2 linked regions of the Struthio camelus genome follow. The protein of the gene in region 1 purifies or fractionates together with the protein of each later gene. This does not show direct contact. Links are inferred from orthologs where the notes say so. Each region holds a gene or a part of one and is shown in the gene's direction. Other genes may lie near its edges.

Region 1 (7,006 bases):
TGCTTTTTATCCCATGCCAATACAGAGTTTGAAAATGATAAATAATTATGAAACAATTTCTTAAGAGTTCCTAAGTGCGCACAGAGATTTTCAAGTTGCACTCCTGACATTCTGACTCCTAATGTATTATACACAAAAGGTCTTGCACTAAATACTTGAAAAGATGTGCCTAAATCTCTTCTAATCTTATTCAAACCTTCCTTTTAAAAATTGAGTTTAAAAGTATGCAAAACAGAAAAGTTAAATATCTATCCGGCTTCAGGCCTTTACTTCTAGCTATACTTCCAGTGGTAGAGGAGGACCCAATTTCTAATGACATCTCATGGGGCTTTGTGGAGTCTTCAAAGCTCTTTTCTCACGTCAGAAGGCGGACAAACCTCCATGATGGACAGAATTGCTAAGAGCATGAGGTCATCCAGAAGGCAAGCTGCTATGGATACCAAAGTCCAAACGCTTTTCCTTCAGCTGTGAAAGAAGGACAGTGTTTTTGTCATTGTCTTACCAGGATGATTGATCCTATGAGCCAGTTTTGCAATGAAATGAAAATCCTGATGCTCCAGCTCAAAGACCAACCTCTGTCCCTCACAGCCCCAAAGGGAAAAACCAACAGGAAAACTTACATGTTACAACTCTCTCTCATGTATCACCCTACTCCAAATTATTGTAGCATTTAAAATAATAGAAATAAGTATCTTTAAAAATTGTCTGAAAGGAGTAGATCAGAAGAACTAACATACTTAAACTGAGGGGTACATGGATGTACTCAGGACTTCAAGGGGTAAAAGGAATTAGGAGGCCGCAGATCCCTACATTGCTGTCGTCTGGGTCATTGTAAACTCTCAGCTACATGACAGCAGAGAAGCTGTGCGGTTGTGCAGCCCCCTCTGCTCGCCTGATCGCTGCCTCCAGCCCTGGACAGAGCGTACCACAATCACAAGTTACAAAGCAAAAAAATTTCACTGAAGTTAAAAGGCAAACAAAACGGCCTTTTTTTCTTTCTTTTGTGACTGGCTTGAACAATAAGAGATGTTATTTTTCTACAAAGATGAAAATTGTTATTATTTTTCTACTCTGCTCTGCACTTCTCAAGAACCTCTGTTAATCTCTATCCTTCACTGAGGAAAGCTTTGCAGTCTGTCTCTCGGTGGTTAGAATCATCTGTGCCTGGATGTTGAAAGGAGCTGGAAGAAACATGTTAAAAAATCTGAAACTGTTTATGCAAAGAATATTAAAGGAATTGAGTTAGCGGACACAAGTCCTTCCATATATTCACAAAGGTAGACATAGGGGGAAAAGTGGTCAAGGAGGCTGCAAGACTGTGCGCGTCTGCAGTACTTACTAGTGGTTTCCAGTATCCTTTAATACAGGTGGCGAAGGAACCCTTTCTGTTTTCCCTCACTATTAATCAAAGGATCAAAGTTCTTTGGATAGCACAGCCTGAGGAGAAGGTGCTTTTCTGTGAGAAGCACACACTTTTTCACTAGTGGCACAGCAAGAATTAATTTGAATTTAGTTTCAAATTAAAATAGAAAAAAATAATTTGGGTTATCTGTAGATGAAAACTAAGTCAGCGTCCTGTCTAGATGATTAGAAAGGTAATTTTAAAGAGCTTCTGGTAAATTTGGACTTCTCCTTGACAGAAATGTCCTGAATTTGCCCTTCTCTGATACACTAGGAGAAAATAACACTTTAACCATCCATTATAATTTTAAGTGCAGATAATAAATGTGTAGTGCAAATTGTCTTGGCCTGTTCTCCCATGTAAATACAAGCTTTTAAAATAACAAATCATTACGAAATAATTTTATAATGGCCATAGATATCCAACAGTGATTTCTATTATACAGAAATTCAATTGATTACTATCTCATTCCAAAATGCTCAGAGAAGTTCAGATTACTTTCAGAGAGTAATGGCAGAACTACACGCTCAAAGGCTGAAATATGAATGTCCTCTCCTTACCCTCATAAAGAAAGAAAAAAAGGAGATAAGCATGGATTCTAACTCTTTCCATTCCATATCCTTAAGTTCAATTTATGTCACTTACATTACAGTTTTTTATTCAAACCCTAAAACATACCTCTCCTTTTAGTAATGCATTGCTAATAACTTTGAAGATGTAAAGACAAAAGATTGGGCTTTTCCCTCTCTGTATACAGTTTCTTACAAGTTTAGTCCAACCATTTGGATCATGAAACCTAATCAGTAATCAGGAAATAAACACAAAAAAACCCACACTGTTTGCTAGCAGTATCTTGCTATTCATACTAAAAACAAATACATCAGTTCCATCTTTTAATAAATTAATTTCCTGGGTGAGCAGGGAAACTTTGGATTTCAGTAAGTACAAACTCACAGGATGTTTTGATCCATCAGGTCCATTTCTTCTTCTAATCGAAAAGGTACCTACCACCCCTGATTTTCATGGGAGCCGCTTTAACACAGTGTAAGCATGAAAAGCTTAATAATATCATGGGTTTTTTTTTATCTAAAGCGCTCAAAAATTTTAGAAAGTTAAGAAAAGGAACATTACTGACATTGACTAGGAGGCATAAATTATTAATGGAGAAATTTTTAAAAGTGATATAGAAAATTAGTCACAGTCGAGAATGAAACACAGTACGTTCACTGACCATCTGTGTTTAGTCCATAGTTACCCCTGGAGAAGAGCTTTAGTCACCTCCATTTACTAATATCAGCCTTTCTGGATCTATACCGTTGTGGCCAGCCTCTACTTCTCCTTTGCCCGTTACTGACCTCCATAACAAACCCAAATGCTTTAGGTAGCGTTTTGTGAGGGGTTAAGTGGTATTTGTCCTTCTCTCGGGGTCAAGGTCGTGACCCTCTGTACTACATGGTCTTTTAATCAAAGGCCCTGAATCAGAGCAGCAGAAAGCTAAGAAGGCATCATTTAACATGACCCTGCTCCCCACTATCCTACCTTGGGACACTGGGGCCTTTGGGCCATTTTGGTTCTTAGCTACAGCCAAGCCTGATTCACAAACAACAATGCAGCAGCCTGCCATCTTTCCCCATGTACAGTTGTATGCGCTCTCTCTCTGAATTTCTCCTAGCTATGTATTTTTCTGTCTTGTTTTCTAATGGAAACATATCAATATTTTGCAACCTTCTCTGCAAAACTGATGTCCAATTCAATCCCTCCTCTACTGTATTAGCTCTGGAATGTATTTCACGTTATCATTTATTTTGGCAACAAAAGCATCAACATGTTTTTGTTTGCATTTCAGTGGCTTTTCTGTTTTTTTCTGTTCTGCTTTTTTTTTTTTTTTGACTCTCAATAACTTCTGTCATTACTTTAATAATGACAAATTGAGATATGGGCCCTCAGTTTTCATTACTACCCTAGTAAGAATCAGATGCCGAGGGCTGAACTTCCAATTCAAATCAATGCGAACTTCTCCACTGAAATTTACATTAATGTGTTTTGTCTCACAACCGGGTGAAATAAAGGCATACGCACAAACAGTTACTGTGGATCAGTTGACGGGCAGCAACATATCTTCTTCGCTGGTATAACCTCATCTTTCTAAATTCCATGCTCATAACTTTTACAGACGTATTTGAGAGATTAAAGCAGTTTACCTGTTAACTTTGTTGTTAAGTGTATCCTGCATGAGAAAGTTACCCATTGAAGCTGGGCTGAGGCATTTAAGTTTGTTTAACTAAATCCATGCAAGAATCGGCAAAGTATTGGCCTGCGTATCGTAGGGATGCGTCTACTTTTTGCACGTCTTTCCTTGTTTCATCACTGTCTGGTAGAGCAACTCTCGATGATGCGAGAACTATTTCCCCTGACTCCTCTGCCCTGCGCTCTGCCCCGCAGCAGCCCAGCGCGGGGGCGGCAGCAGCAGCGGCGGCGGCGGCAGCCCGGGGCCGGGAGCGCGGGACCGGGGGGCACCGCGGGGCGCGGAGCGGCGGGCTGGCAAAGGTGCCGGCGGGGCAGAGCAAGCCGGAGAGGCAGGTGAAAGGGCGGAGAGTGGACAAGGGAGGGCGAAATGCACAGCAGGGAAGGAGGGAGGGCCAAATGCTCCGGGAGGGAGGGCAAAGGCAGGGGCAGAGGGAGGAGAGGGGGCCGGGTTAAAGAGCAGGGGAGCCGGGGGAGGGGAAGCGGAGCGGGACCTGGCGAGAGGCAGATTTAAGGAGTGGCACTGTGGGAAAGTAGCCGCGCTGCGCCCCGTCCTCAGCTCGGAGCCCCGCTGCTGCTCGCTGCTTCTCCCCCGCCGGCCCGCAGGATGCCTGTGAAAGGAGGCACCAAGTGCATCAAGTACCTGCTCTTCGGCTTCAACTTCATTTTCTGGGTAAGGGGCCCCCGCCCGGCCCGACCCTGCCTCGCGGAGCCCTCCGGCGTGCCCGGGACAAGGGGTGTTTGCCCGCCCAGGGCTCGCCTCACGGAGCAAGGGGCTCCGGTTTCTCCTTGCCCCGACGTGTTTCCCTTGGGAAGGAGCCGTTTGCCCTGCGTCGCCTGCCTCTTCCCCCTTGCGCCCATGGGGTCCGGGGGGGGGGGGGGATAGGAGGGGTGACCCTGTGCAAGGGCTGGAGGGAGGGGAATTTCATTCCTCCCCTCCCCCGCCTCGCCTTGAGAGAACTAGGTGTTTTCCCCATTCCCCCCCCCCCCCGGGTGGGGGGGGTTTCCCTGCGCTCCCGCCCTGCCGAAGTTTTTCCCCGAGCGGCGGCCTGGTGTGGCGTGGCGCGGCGTGCGCCCGGAGCCGCGCAGCCCGGTGCCGGGGCAGCGGTGTGGGGAGGGGTGGGGGGGTGCTGCTGCCGCCTTGACGCCTCGACGCCCCGGGTCTTGCCCCGCGGGCGCGGCGGCTGCGGCGGGCAGCGGGCTGGCGGCGCGCCCGCGGGCGGCTCTCCCTCCCGCTCCGGGGGCAGGTCCGCCCGCCGCCCCGGGGCGCGCTGCGCGCCTCTCTGCCGCTGCCCCCGCGCCGTCGGTGAGCCCCGCTGCCAGGGGCCGGGCCGGGCCGGGCCGCCGGCCAGGTGCTGGTTACCTGCCCGCGGCGGCGGTGCAGACAAACGCCCACGCAGTCAGGTGGCGGCGAAGGCCGGGGAGTTTCCCTGCCTCGCGATTAAAGGCGGCCGGGCGGCTGTGGAAGTGCAGGAGGATCTAGCGAAGCTGCTGCTGTGTCTCATGTGCTCAATAATATGATGTGTATATTGCGGTTATGATATCTAGCGTGGTACGTTCAGCAAGAGGCATTCGAATAAGATGCATACCCAGCTCGTTACTCTTTTAAAACTTCCCTTCCTAGACCCATAGGCAGAAAATCCTTTTATCAGACTGTGTATCCTCCCTGTTGATGTGTCTGAGGAGGGCGGAGGGGGGGAAATGCGGCAGTTGAAGGTAGTTTTTCGGGTTTTTTTTTCCCTCGCAGCAGCATATACAACACTTGCACAGAAACTCTCCTTGAGTTTAACTTGCTCGCAAAGCTGAAGTCTTTTTAGGTGAGCAGGCTATGGCAAGGGGTGGTGAACTAGCTATGTGCAAATTGGAGCTTGTGATCATGATCGTCTTACTCGTCTTGGTGGGAACTTCAGCTAAAGCTGTAGCTGCTGCCTCGAATCTTGTAGGAAACATTTCCTAAAGAAAGTCCTAAAATAGCTTAATCTGAAGAGCACGACACAGCAAGTGAAAGCTGTCTTGAGTGTAGTTTCTGGCATGGCTACCTCTAGTCAGCTATGCCATGTCAGGAAGCATGGCATAATTAAGAAGTTGTCTGTTTCCCCAAGTACTTTGAGAAGCGGCCACATCTGAATTTAATATTGTCTGCTTTGTGGAAAAAGGCCAAAGGGAATGCAATAGAGCACTGCATGCATAACTTCTAGATGTGAAGTGTGAGCTCAAAGGGAATTACTTCTAGGAGCAGGTGGGTTTTGAGGGTGTGTTGTTTTTTGGGTTGTTCTCTTTCTCCCTCTCCCCCCCCCCTTTTTAAGTTATTTTCCTCTAGGCTATCTCCTTCAGGGATAAATGCAGTATGCGTGTGTGTTTTCTACACCCACTTACCCTGCAATATGGAGAAATGAGTTTAGAGCTGTGTAAAGAAAATCCTTCTGTGGTCAGTAGCAGTGCTGCACATGGGATGATTGCAGGTACAGTGTTAATGGATAAAGTGCTCTGATCTCCTAAGCTAAAAATTGGTTTCAGTAGAGTGTGAAGATGGATTCAGGCTGCAGTTGAGGGAAAGCAAGGGAACTTGCATGGGGAAACTTTACAAGGACACAGAAAGTATTTCCATCCTAGACTCACCAAACTTTAAATAGGTATTGGGAGAGGAAAGTCCTCATATTTGGAGGAGGATGACTGATAAGGGAAAAACCATCTAACAGTGCACTGGATGAAACTTTTGGATGCCTTGCATGTTGTAAACATGTCTTAGCTTTAGTGTCATCTCTCAGACTTCTAAATTAATTTGCGGTGCTGGTACTTGCAGCTGAATCAAGTGCTACTTTTGCTGTAATCAATTTTGAAATACCAGGTCACTTAGGCAGTTTAAGTACATGTTTGTTATCCTGAAACATAAGAAAAATACAAGTAATCTGTGTAGCTTTTGATATTGTATTTATCTCAATGAGGTGCTAAACTTAACCTTGTTGAAACCTGAGAAAACAGCTTGACCGTGGAGCAGACCTGTTGCTGAAGCTCTTCCTTGAGCAAAGTGGCCGCTGCTCCCAGCAGCGGGTGGGCTGCGCTGGCTGTGTTAGCTTCTTAAACTGAATGAGAACAGGGCAAAAAGGAAGAGGGCAAAAAAGAGGCCCCATAAGAGTAATAAAAGGGGGATTAATACTTGTTCCTCTAAGTATCCTGACAAGCAGCGGAAACATCAATAGATAATAAATGTAAAACACCTAGGATCTTTCAGGGATAAATACATATGTAGAGCAGCTGTGACTTACAGTAGTAGTCCTTGGTTTTCAGGGCTCATTACATGTATGTATGTGCTTTACAGAAACTACTGAAGGGGCTTTTCAAGTGCAATGTTAAAGTGAA
Region 2 (7,909 bases), on another chromosome or scaffold:
TGGTCGCCCTCGCAGCTGGGTGTGATCCACAGCCTCATGGGGAGCAGGTGCAATGAGTGTACTAGTGACCAAGCAGCAAGGCGAGTTGGGGGTACCAGCTGTGCTGTGCTACTACAGTAAGCTAGATGATGACCTACAGTCCAGATCCCTCAGTTGTCTGTACTCCTTGGTCTTGGGCTTTGCAGATCCTGTCCTAAGGCTAGGTCCTGTGTGTGCAGCACGTGGTGCAGTTCCTAGAGATAAGTTGTGTCAAGATTGTATTGAGATGTGCTTTAGGTGATAGCCAAAGTCTCTTTAGCCAGAGTCTGTGTGAGCTAGGAGAGCAAAAGTATTTTGTCCTGAAAAATGATTATATTTGACTCCTGATGCAGTTAAAACATGTCCCTTGAAGACTCGTCTTGCTTCCTGATTTCCTGGAGAAGAGTTTCCAGAGAGAGATCCCATGACTATCTTGCTTGCGAGCCTTCTCTTTTCCTCCCCAGCTTCCTCCCAGTTACCTACCCAAGAAAGATTTTACTTATTTAATCTCCTCTGCTAGCCTATGCCGTGTTACCCAATACAGGTAACCTCTGTTGACTCTAGATCTATAGGTTTCCTTTACAGAGAGGGTATAGTCCTGTAGCCTTGGCAGTAAGAAGACTGACACCAAGCATCAAGAAGGCATTTTGACTGCGAGGGCAGGGCCAGTTGGAGCAACGGCTGGCTGCTTTGGGCCAGATAGGCTGCAAGGCCTGCACGTAGATAGACGTTGAGGGAGAGCTGAGTAGATTCATTGCCCGAAAGTGTGCATCTGGTGTTGGGTTATGCCTCTCTCTTTTTGCAAGGAGGCCCTAGTGAATAATGGCAAAAGCAAGCTGAAGCAAGGTTTTGTGTGTAGCACAGTGTTGTAGATCAAGGGGCATGCATGGTATAGACAGGTAGTGGGCACAGTGCTAAAAGTCTCTCCAGCGACGATGCAAGAGATTGTGGGATACGTGCCTTGCTGAGAGAGACCCAAAACGGGCTCTCTCACCAAAGGTGCCTTTGATGTGTGTAAGGTTGTTTAAGCTTAGGCTGCCCTTATGGAGGGGGATCTTATGCAGCTGTGTATGTGGCCAGTGCGTTAGAATATGTAGGCATATGCTCAAAATGACTGCAGTTTTAGGCCTCAGTACTTCTTGAAGGAACATCCTTAATTCTTTCTACAGCAATCCAAAGTATTGTTTAGTTTCCATTTGCTACCAGCATTTCTCTCATCTCTGCGTAGCTACACTCAGAAAAAGTGCCTGCTCCAAGCGTGTTTGCAAGGATGTTTACTCTCCAAACAGTTTGCGCTAGCTATTCTAAAACTACTTAAGGAATGTGACTGACAACTTCAGTGGAAAAATATTCTCTGGTTGTAGAAGACTTAAAGAAACTGGTACTCTGGAAAATTGGGAGCTGATGTAGAACAATTTGGAGTCTGGACAGAAATTCTTCTTTCATCTCAGATTTTTGTGTGTATAATATTTTACATATTGTATATAAACATGTTAAAATCATGACACAAATTGTTAGAAGTCCAGACATGCAGTCCTTAAGGATTTCAAATCAGAAATATCACGTCAAATTCTAAATAATCTATCTATAGAGGCAAAATGTTTTTACTTTGTAAACCCGTAAAGAATGACAGAACGATGTCTATAGTTCTGTACATTCAAAAGAAAAATAAGTTATAAAAACAGCAATATCTTAATTTGGAACTGAAAGTCATCTGATTAAAACAATAAAGCAACAGGTAGAAAAAGTTGCATTTTAGGAATCTTTTTGAAAATATAGTAAAGAAAGAGAGATGAGACACTCCTTATTTATTTACAAATGATATAAATATGACCAGAGTCAGTTCTGCATAATTCAGAACACCAACGGTGCAAATACAGCTATTTAAACACTCTGGCTTCTAAACTGTTCAGAGCAAAACACTTTGCGCATTTGTTATTGAGCACATTACCTCTCCTACTGCTGTTTGCTAGTCCTAACATCACTGTTAAAACAGAACTGAGAACAGCAGTAAAGGAAGTTCTAGCAAAAATAGCCCAATGGCCCCGGATGCAAGAAAGACTAATAGCTTGACTGTTTATTGTAGCTCATGAGATGTAGCCATTCAGAAAAAGTAAATAATTTGGAGAACAAGCAGTTCTAAACATGGTATGTGTGTTGCATTCAGAAGGTGATCCAGGTTAATAACACTTAAAAGTAGTTTATGGTTCTGAACTGAAACTCTTTATGGCTTTAGAACTTGCACAGTGAAGCAAACCTTTCTGGCCTATTTCAATTTTTCATCTGGAATTTTATCAATTTTAAGGTCAATTTTTTTAAATTAAATGTGAGGGAGATGTTTACATACTTTTGCTTTTCAGAACCATTTGATGTGCTGCATTAAAGCTGCACAGCTGAGTATCCACAAGTTGTGTATTTCTTTGCATAAGGTATTTTCTTCATATAAATGAGAAAAGTTCAGAAATGTAAAGCATTGTTCCTTCTCTGGCACGGCATTTTAGGCTTTCCTTAAAGCTCTAGCTTTTCCATCCCGCCTCTTCTATTTTCCAGAACTTATTTTTTTGCTTGGTAATTAACTACACAGCTGTCTAGAGGAGGAAAGTATTACTGGCACTAAAGCTTGCTCAATACGCAGACACAGCAGGCAAACACCTTGTAGCCCTTTGGCAGAATACCAACATACCATTAATAAGCAAACAGCTTGAAAACTCCGCTATTACAAAGCATTTGTTATAGAAAAAAAGACTCAGCTTTGATCTGGCTAATACTTTTCATAGAATCACCACAGTATTATGTATAGTACAGTGGTCAAATTTAATTGGTCATCATACCTAATCTTTGTCCCCTTTTATACCGGGATGGTACAAAAGAGGAACTGCTGAAGTGTGTTAGTTATAGATAACCCACAGTGGGTTGTTTGTTTGTTTTTTTTTTTTTTGGAAGAGCAAAGGAAGGAAATTGGGATTTTTCAAACTTTCCTCCTCCTTATCTAGAGCAAATTAAAATAGTACAAAACAGTGAGAGACCATCCAAGGTAACTAAGCTGTTTGTGTGCGATTCTGCTCCACCCTGCGTACTGTCTATTTTTGTTGTTCCTGCTGTGGTCACTTGAGACAGGTTTTAATATATCTATGTTTTGGAATGCTTGTTTCTGCATCTGGAGATGAGAAAACTCTCTCACGCCTCAGCAACGTCTACGGATAACAACAAACTAGTAAAACAAGTCCAGGCAATGCTGGTTGGAGAGACGGAGGGGGAGAAGTCAGATGAACCTAACGTGCCAGTATCACTCAAATGGCTCTGGATACAGCGCGGTATTTCTGTGACTCCTTACAAAAGTTATTGGGTGCAAGTACTAGTGTAACTATAGTTACTGTAAGAGTATTATAAGCGTGCAAGTTTAAATGGTCCTGAAGGGCAAACTGCTAAGACTTTGATACAGCCATCAACGCTATTTTAAAAGACTTGTTTTCAAATCTTTGCTAGTTACGGCACAGTACACAGACAGTAGTGAGCCTACTCTCTTGAAATTAGCCCAGGACCCTTCCCTCTTAAGAGTCCTTTAATGAAATCACAGGGCAGTGTTTATGCCAGTGCAGTTTTCTGCCATGGCAGCAGACTGCCATGACTGTAATGTGATTGAAGGCTGGATTAAAACTTTTAATGAGCTGGGCACAAAGAGCAAGCAGGGAAGGCTACTATTAGAAATGAATGTCTAGGAGCCTAATTTAACAAAATGTTTTGTTTCTGCATTAGATGCACATTTTTGGTGCATTTTCTCCGTTCTTGTGATCAAGGGTGTTTTGGTCTTGTGCCAAAGACTTGCCTATACAGGGAGCTATCCTAGAATAATTACTCTGGAAAAAGTAATCTGGATTAGCTCCGTGAAATAGTAATATTATTCCAGAATAAATTATTGGGAATATTAACAGATGCGAGTGCTCTGCCTCAGCTGCTCATCTCTCTTTTGCTGGACTCTTGTATGTGAAGAGAGGCTTCTTTTTCCGCAATTTAGATATTCGTGGAAAAGAAAAATGTATTGTCACGCTGCTTAACGTCTGTAAGGTTTTAAAAACCTTGCCTTCAGTTTCCTAATCCAGAGTGCTAAAATAGTTACAAATGGGTATAAATCTCTCTCAGATGGATAAAACTGTTAAGGCGTGCTTGCAAATATCCTTACAGGGGTGAGCGGGGAGCACGAGATAAGATGATATGGGATGTAAAACCACATACTACTTTCAAACAAAGCGAAGGGGTAAAAGAACTCTGATATCTCCAAAGAGTGGAAGTGCTTGAAGGAACGAAGTTTAAAGAAGGCTGCCATGCAGGCTGAGCCTCTGCTTCCACGTTCTCTGAAGCCCTCAGAACAGGTATATACGCACTGATTCCTCTCGTGTACGTGGCCTTCGGGGAAGACAGGCTCCAGACACTAGATACACCTGTACGTGCGCTGCCCGGAGCCCAGCTTCCTCCTGCTGCGGGACGGCGTCGCGCCGCCGGCCGTTGTAACGGCTGCGGCCGGCGGGCCCCTGCCGCGGCCGTTGTAACGGCTGCGGGCGCGCGCGGCCTGCGCCGCCCCTAGCGAGGCGGTATGCGCAGAGCCGCCCCCGCGCCGCGGGGGTGAGGCAAGCGCTGTGCCCCTGCGGGGACCCGGGAGACATTTTGTGCCCTGCCCGCCGCCGCTGAGGGGCGCGGGGCTCCGCGGTGGGAGAGCCGCGGCAGCCGGCGAGGCCGGAGGAGGGGCCGCGGTGGGGCCGCCCCCCCTCCCCCGGGGCGGAGCCGAGCGGGGCCGGGCCGCCGGCGCACAACGGGCGGCCGCAGCGCGGGGAGCGGCGGCGGCGCGCGGCAGGTCCCGTCCGCGGCCGGAGCAGATGGCGGCCGCGCTCCTCTTCTGCCTGCCCCTGCTGCCGTGCCTCGCCGGCGCCTTCAACCTGGACGCCGATAACGTGATCAGCCGGCACGGCGAGGCGGGCAGCCTCTTCGGCTTCTCCCTGGCCATGCACCGGCAGCTGCAGCCGCAGGAGAGGAGGCTGTAAGTGCCCCCCGGCCGCGCCACTGGGCAGCGACCCTCCCTCCCTTCCCTCCCGTCTGGAAACTTCGCGGGCGGGCCGGTCCCGTCCCCCCGCGGCGGGCCGGGGCTGCCGGCCGCCGCCCGCCCTGGCGGGGCGCTCGGGGAGGGGGAGCCGCCGCTCGGAGGGGCGGGGCGGGCACCTGCCGGCCGCCGAAACCGGGCAGGACCTGGCGGAGGAAAAGGAGCAAATAAGGCAAAATCCTCCTCCTCTTCCCCCCGCTGCGGGCCGGGCGGCACGGTGCGGCCCGGCCCGGCCCGGCCCAGCGGGAGGTCTGCGCGGGTTTGAGGCCGGCCTCGGGCCCCGGGGGCAGCGCCGAGCCGCCCGCCAGCATGCAGGTGCCCTCGGGGCCGCGGGGTGCCCGTGCGGGCTGCTGGTTTTGTTTTCGCCTTTGGTGATGGCTCTGGTTGGACTGGGCAGCTTTTAGGAAAAAAAAAAAAAACAACAAACTTTGTTTGTTGTTTGTGTCGTCGTCGTCGTCGGCCCTCAACCCCCCCCCCCCAAAAAAAAATAGTGAAATTGCATTTCTCGACCACTTTCACGACGTGAACGCATACCAATATCTTGGCTTTATGTAATGCAAGCGCTAGTGTTCAAGACCGAACCTGCCTGGGAGTGAAAGCGGGAGATAATATAAGGAAGACAGGAAAAATAAATCAATTAGAAGCATGGGGGTGAAAGTCAGGAACTCCCTCTGGAAAATCCAAAGGCAAAATAAGGCTTCTTTGTACATCTTTGGGAGAGCAGAGAAGTCCTTGCCTGTTCATGACTATTTGAGCAGGATGTCTGACCCCACCCTGCACAACAGTGCTGATGGAGTGTGTCCTTTATTAGGTATTGTCATGAAACGAACGTCTCTCCGCTAATGTTTTGTTTTAATTTAAGGGAAGGTGAGCCTATAATCTAAATAGAACATATGGAAGAAGAAAGTGAGAAAGAAATTGTATTCTTAGTAAAGTTAGTCAGTAAACTTAGTTAAAAGTTCTGTGGACTCGTTTTGACTGAACTTGCATCCTATGTGATTTCATAGAAATCATAATATGTAAAAGAGTATAAATCACAAATAGCCAAATCCCATCTTTATTGTAGTACACAGAATGTCCTGAAGGGTATCCTAAAGGGCAACATACACACACATCTGTGATTCCTTTTCAGAATTCTGCATCATAATTCTTGGTAGGATTAAATGTATGTTGGCCTTCACTTTGTTAAGAAAATGATATCTGAACTCGTTAGCATTCCATGGTACTGTCAAATGCTGGTAAAATGAGTGTATCCCAATATGTAGAGAAGGAAAGCCGTTTACTCAGAAGATTGTAGAAAAGTGGTCATAGTGCTCAAGCAAGTCTGTAACATTTGGCTGAAATGCTTCAATGGTTATTAGCATGAAGGTTCTGTGTTGTATGTATAGTAAGTGCATTTTCAGTACCCAAAGGCAATCCAGATCCAGGGGCACAGATGCTCTCCCTGTTACTGATACGGCTTTATGAATCTAGGCTTTCATGAGAAACAAGGGTCTCTAACAGAGACAAGTCTAGACTAACAAACTATATGCTGTGCTGATACATACTTTTGAACATGAGATATCTTGACTTTTTTTTTGGCTTATTTGTGTGTTTTAGCACAAAGAAAGGTTGCCTAATAATTTGAGTGCTGCTGCGGGTCTTGGAAAACCTGCATTCAGTTCTTTTACATAGCACAACTACGTTACAATGAGTTTGAGGTTTTTTTGTTTGTTTATTTTTTTTGTCTATAAAAGTAGTAGTGCGTGCCTGTGAGAGAACAGGACATTAAACATGCTGAACTGTTTTGTGTGACACCTTCCTGGTAGAAACTGTGTAAGTATCTTTCATTGGGACAGGAGTATGTTAAGCTCCCTTCATGTAAATTATGTCTTATGAAACAGATGGGAGTTCTAATGGAGAAACTTGAAATGAGGGCTCCCGTGTTAGGCTGTGTGTTTGTGAACAACCAGATAAAAATGAGCAACGCTAAATTAATACTGAGCAACTTATTTGGCAGGTTCACCAGATAAGAATTTGGATTTCTAAATAGATTGACTGCTTATAGGTAGAACGAAGTGTCTACTATCTAGGCTTTCAGTGAAGGTGAGAATGGAGGTTCACTGAGAAACAAGTATATCTAATCCCTACATGTTGCATATTATCTGTAAAAACAGGAATTTTACTGATTTCTTTTCAGTGATGGAATACCTGTGCGTTCCCAGCTGCGTTCCTCTGGTCTGTGTTCCAGCTCTGTTGCAAAGGTGACTTTATGTCTGCCTATCTCTTGAGTCAACTAGAATGATACAATAGCAACAGCAGAAATAATTATTTCACCCTTCTTCTTGAGAGGATGCTAACTGCAAAGCTCAGTTACAGCTGTTTGAGTGTGAACACCGTTAAACAGTTGCCAAAATACTCAAAACTCATTTCATTGTTGAAACTTAATTAAAAGTGACGTTTCAGTACTCATCTGGCAGGGGCTGTCATTCCAAACCAAACCAAAAAAAACCTAAAGCACTTTATAAAATCAGAAATGAGTTGCAACTGACATGTGCAAGATCACAGCATCCTTGGGTAAATAAGCAAATGAGAAAAGTAGCAGTACCTGAACTGTGTTCAAGGGCTGCTTTAGTCTGACTCTGAACAAGGGTTCGTTAAAAAATGGTAAATGCTCCTTAATTTTTTTTCTGAAATCGCTTAAGTGAGTCTTAAGCAAAAAGGTTCTCTTTGCCTCACGCTGAATGGTTCAGTGTTAAGCATTATGAAAATTCTTTGTAAAGATGAGGGTGGCAGAGGTCTAGGAAGCATGACAAATAA

The links. Proteins that work in one complex are often made in the same cells at the same time.
Region 2: the proteins of CD9 (region 1) and ITGA6 purify together in Homo sapiens (co-immunoprecipitation; 3 studies listed by BioGRID and IntAct, with this or other methods). This does not show direct contact. The link is inferred for Struthio camelus from reciprocal best matches to the Homo sapiens genes CD9 and ITGA6.

The regions. Positions count from the first base shown.
Region 1 is NC_090942.1:83,042,689-83,049,694, reverse strand, and holds the start of CD9 (CD9 antigen), read left to right. Parts: upstream 1-3,997; 5' UTR 3,998-4,253; coding exon 4,254-4,319; intron 4,320-7,006. UniProt on the Homo sapiens protein: Integral membrane protein associated with integrins, which regulates different processes, such as sperm-egg fusion, platelet activation and aggregation, and cell adhesion.
Region 2 is NC_090947.1:22,649,543-22,657,451, reverse strand, and holds the start of ITGA6 (integrin alpha-6), read left to right. Parts: upstream 1-4,799; 5' UTR 4,800-4,889; coding exon 4,890-5,050; intron 5,051-7,909. UniProt on the Homo sapiens protein: Integrin alpha-6/beta-1 (ITGA6:ITGB1) is a receptor for laminin on platelets. Integrin alpha-6/beta-1 (ITGA6:ITGB1) is present in oocytes and is involved in sperm-egg fusion.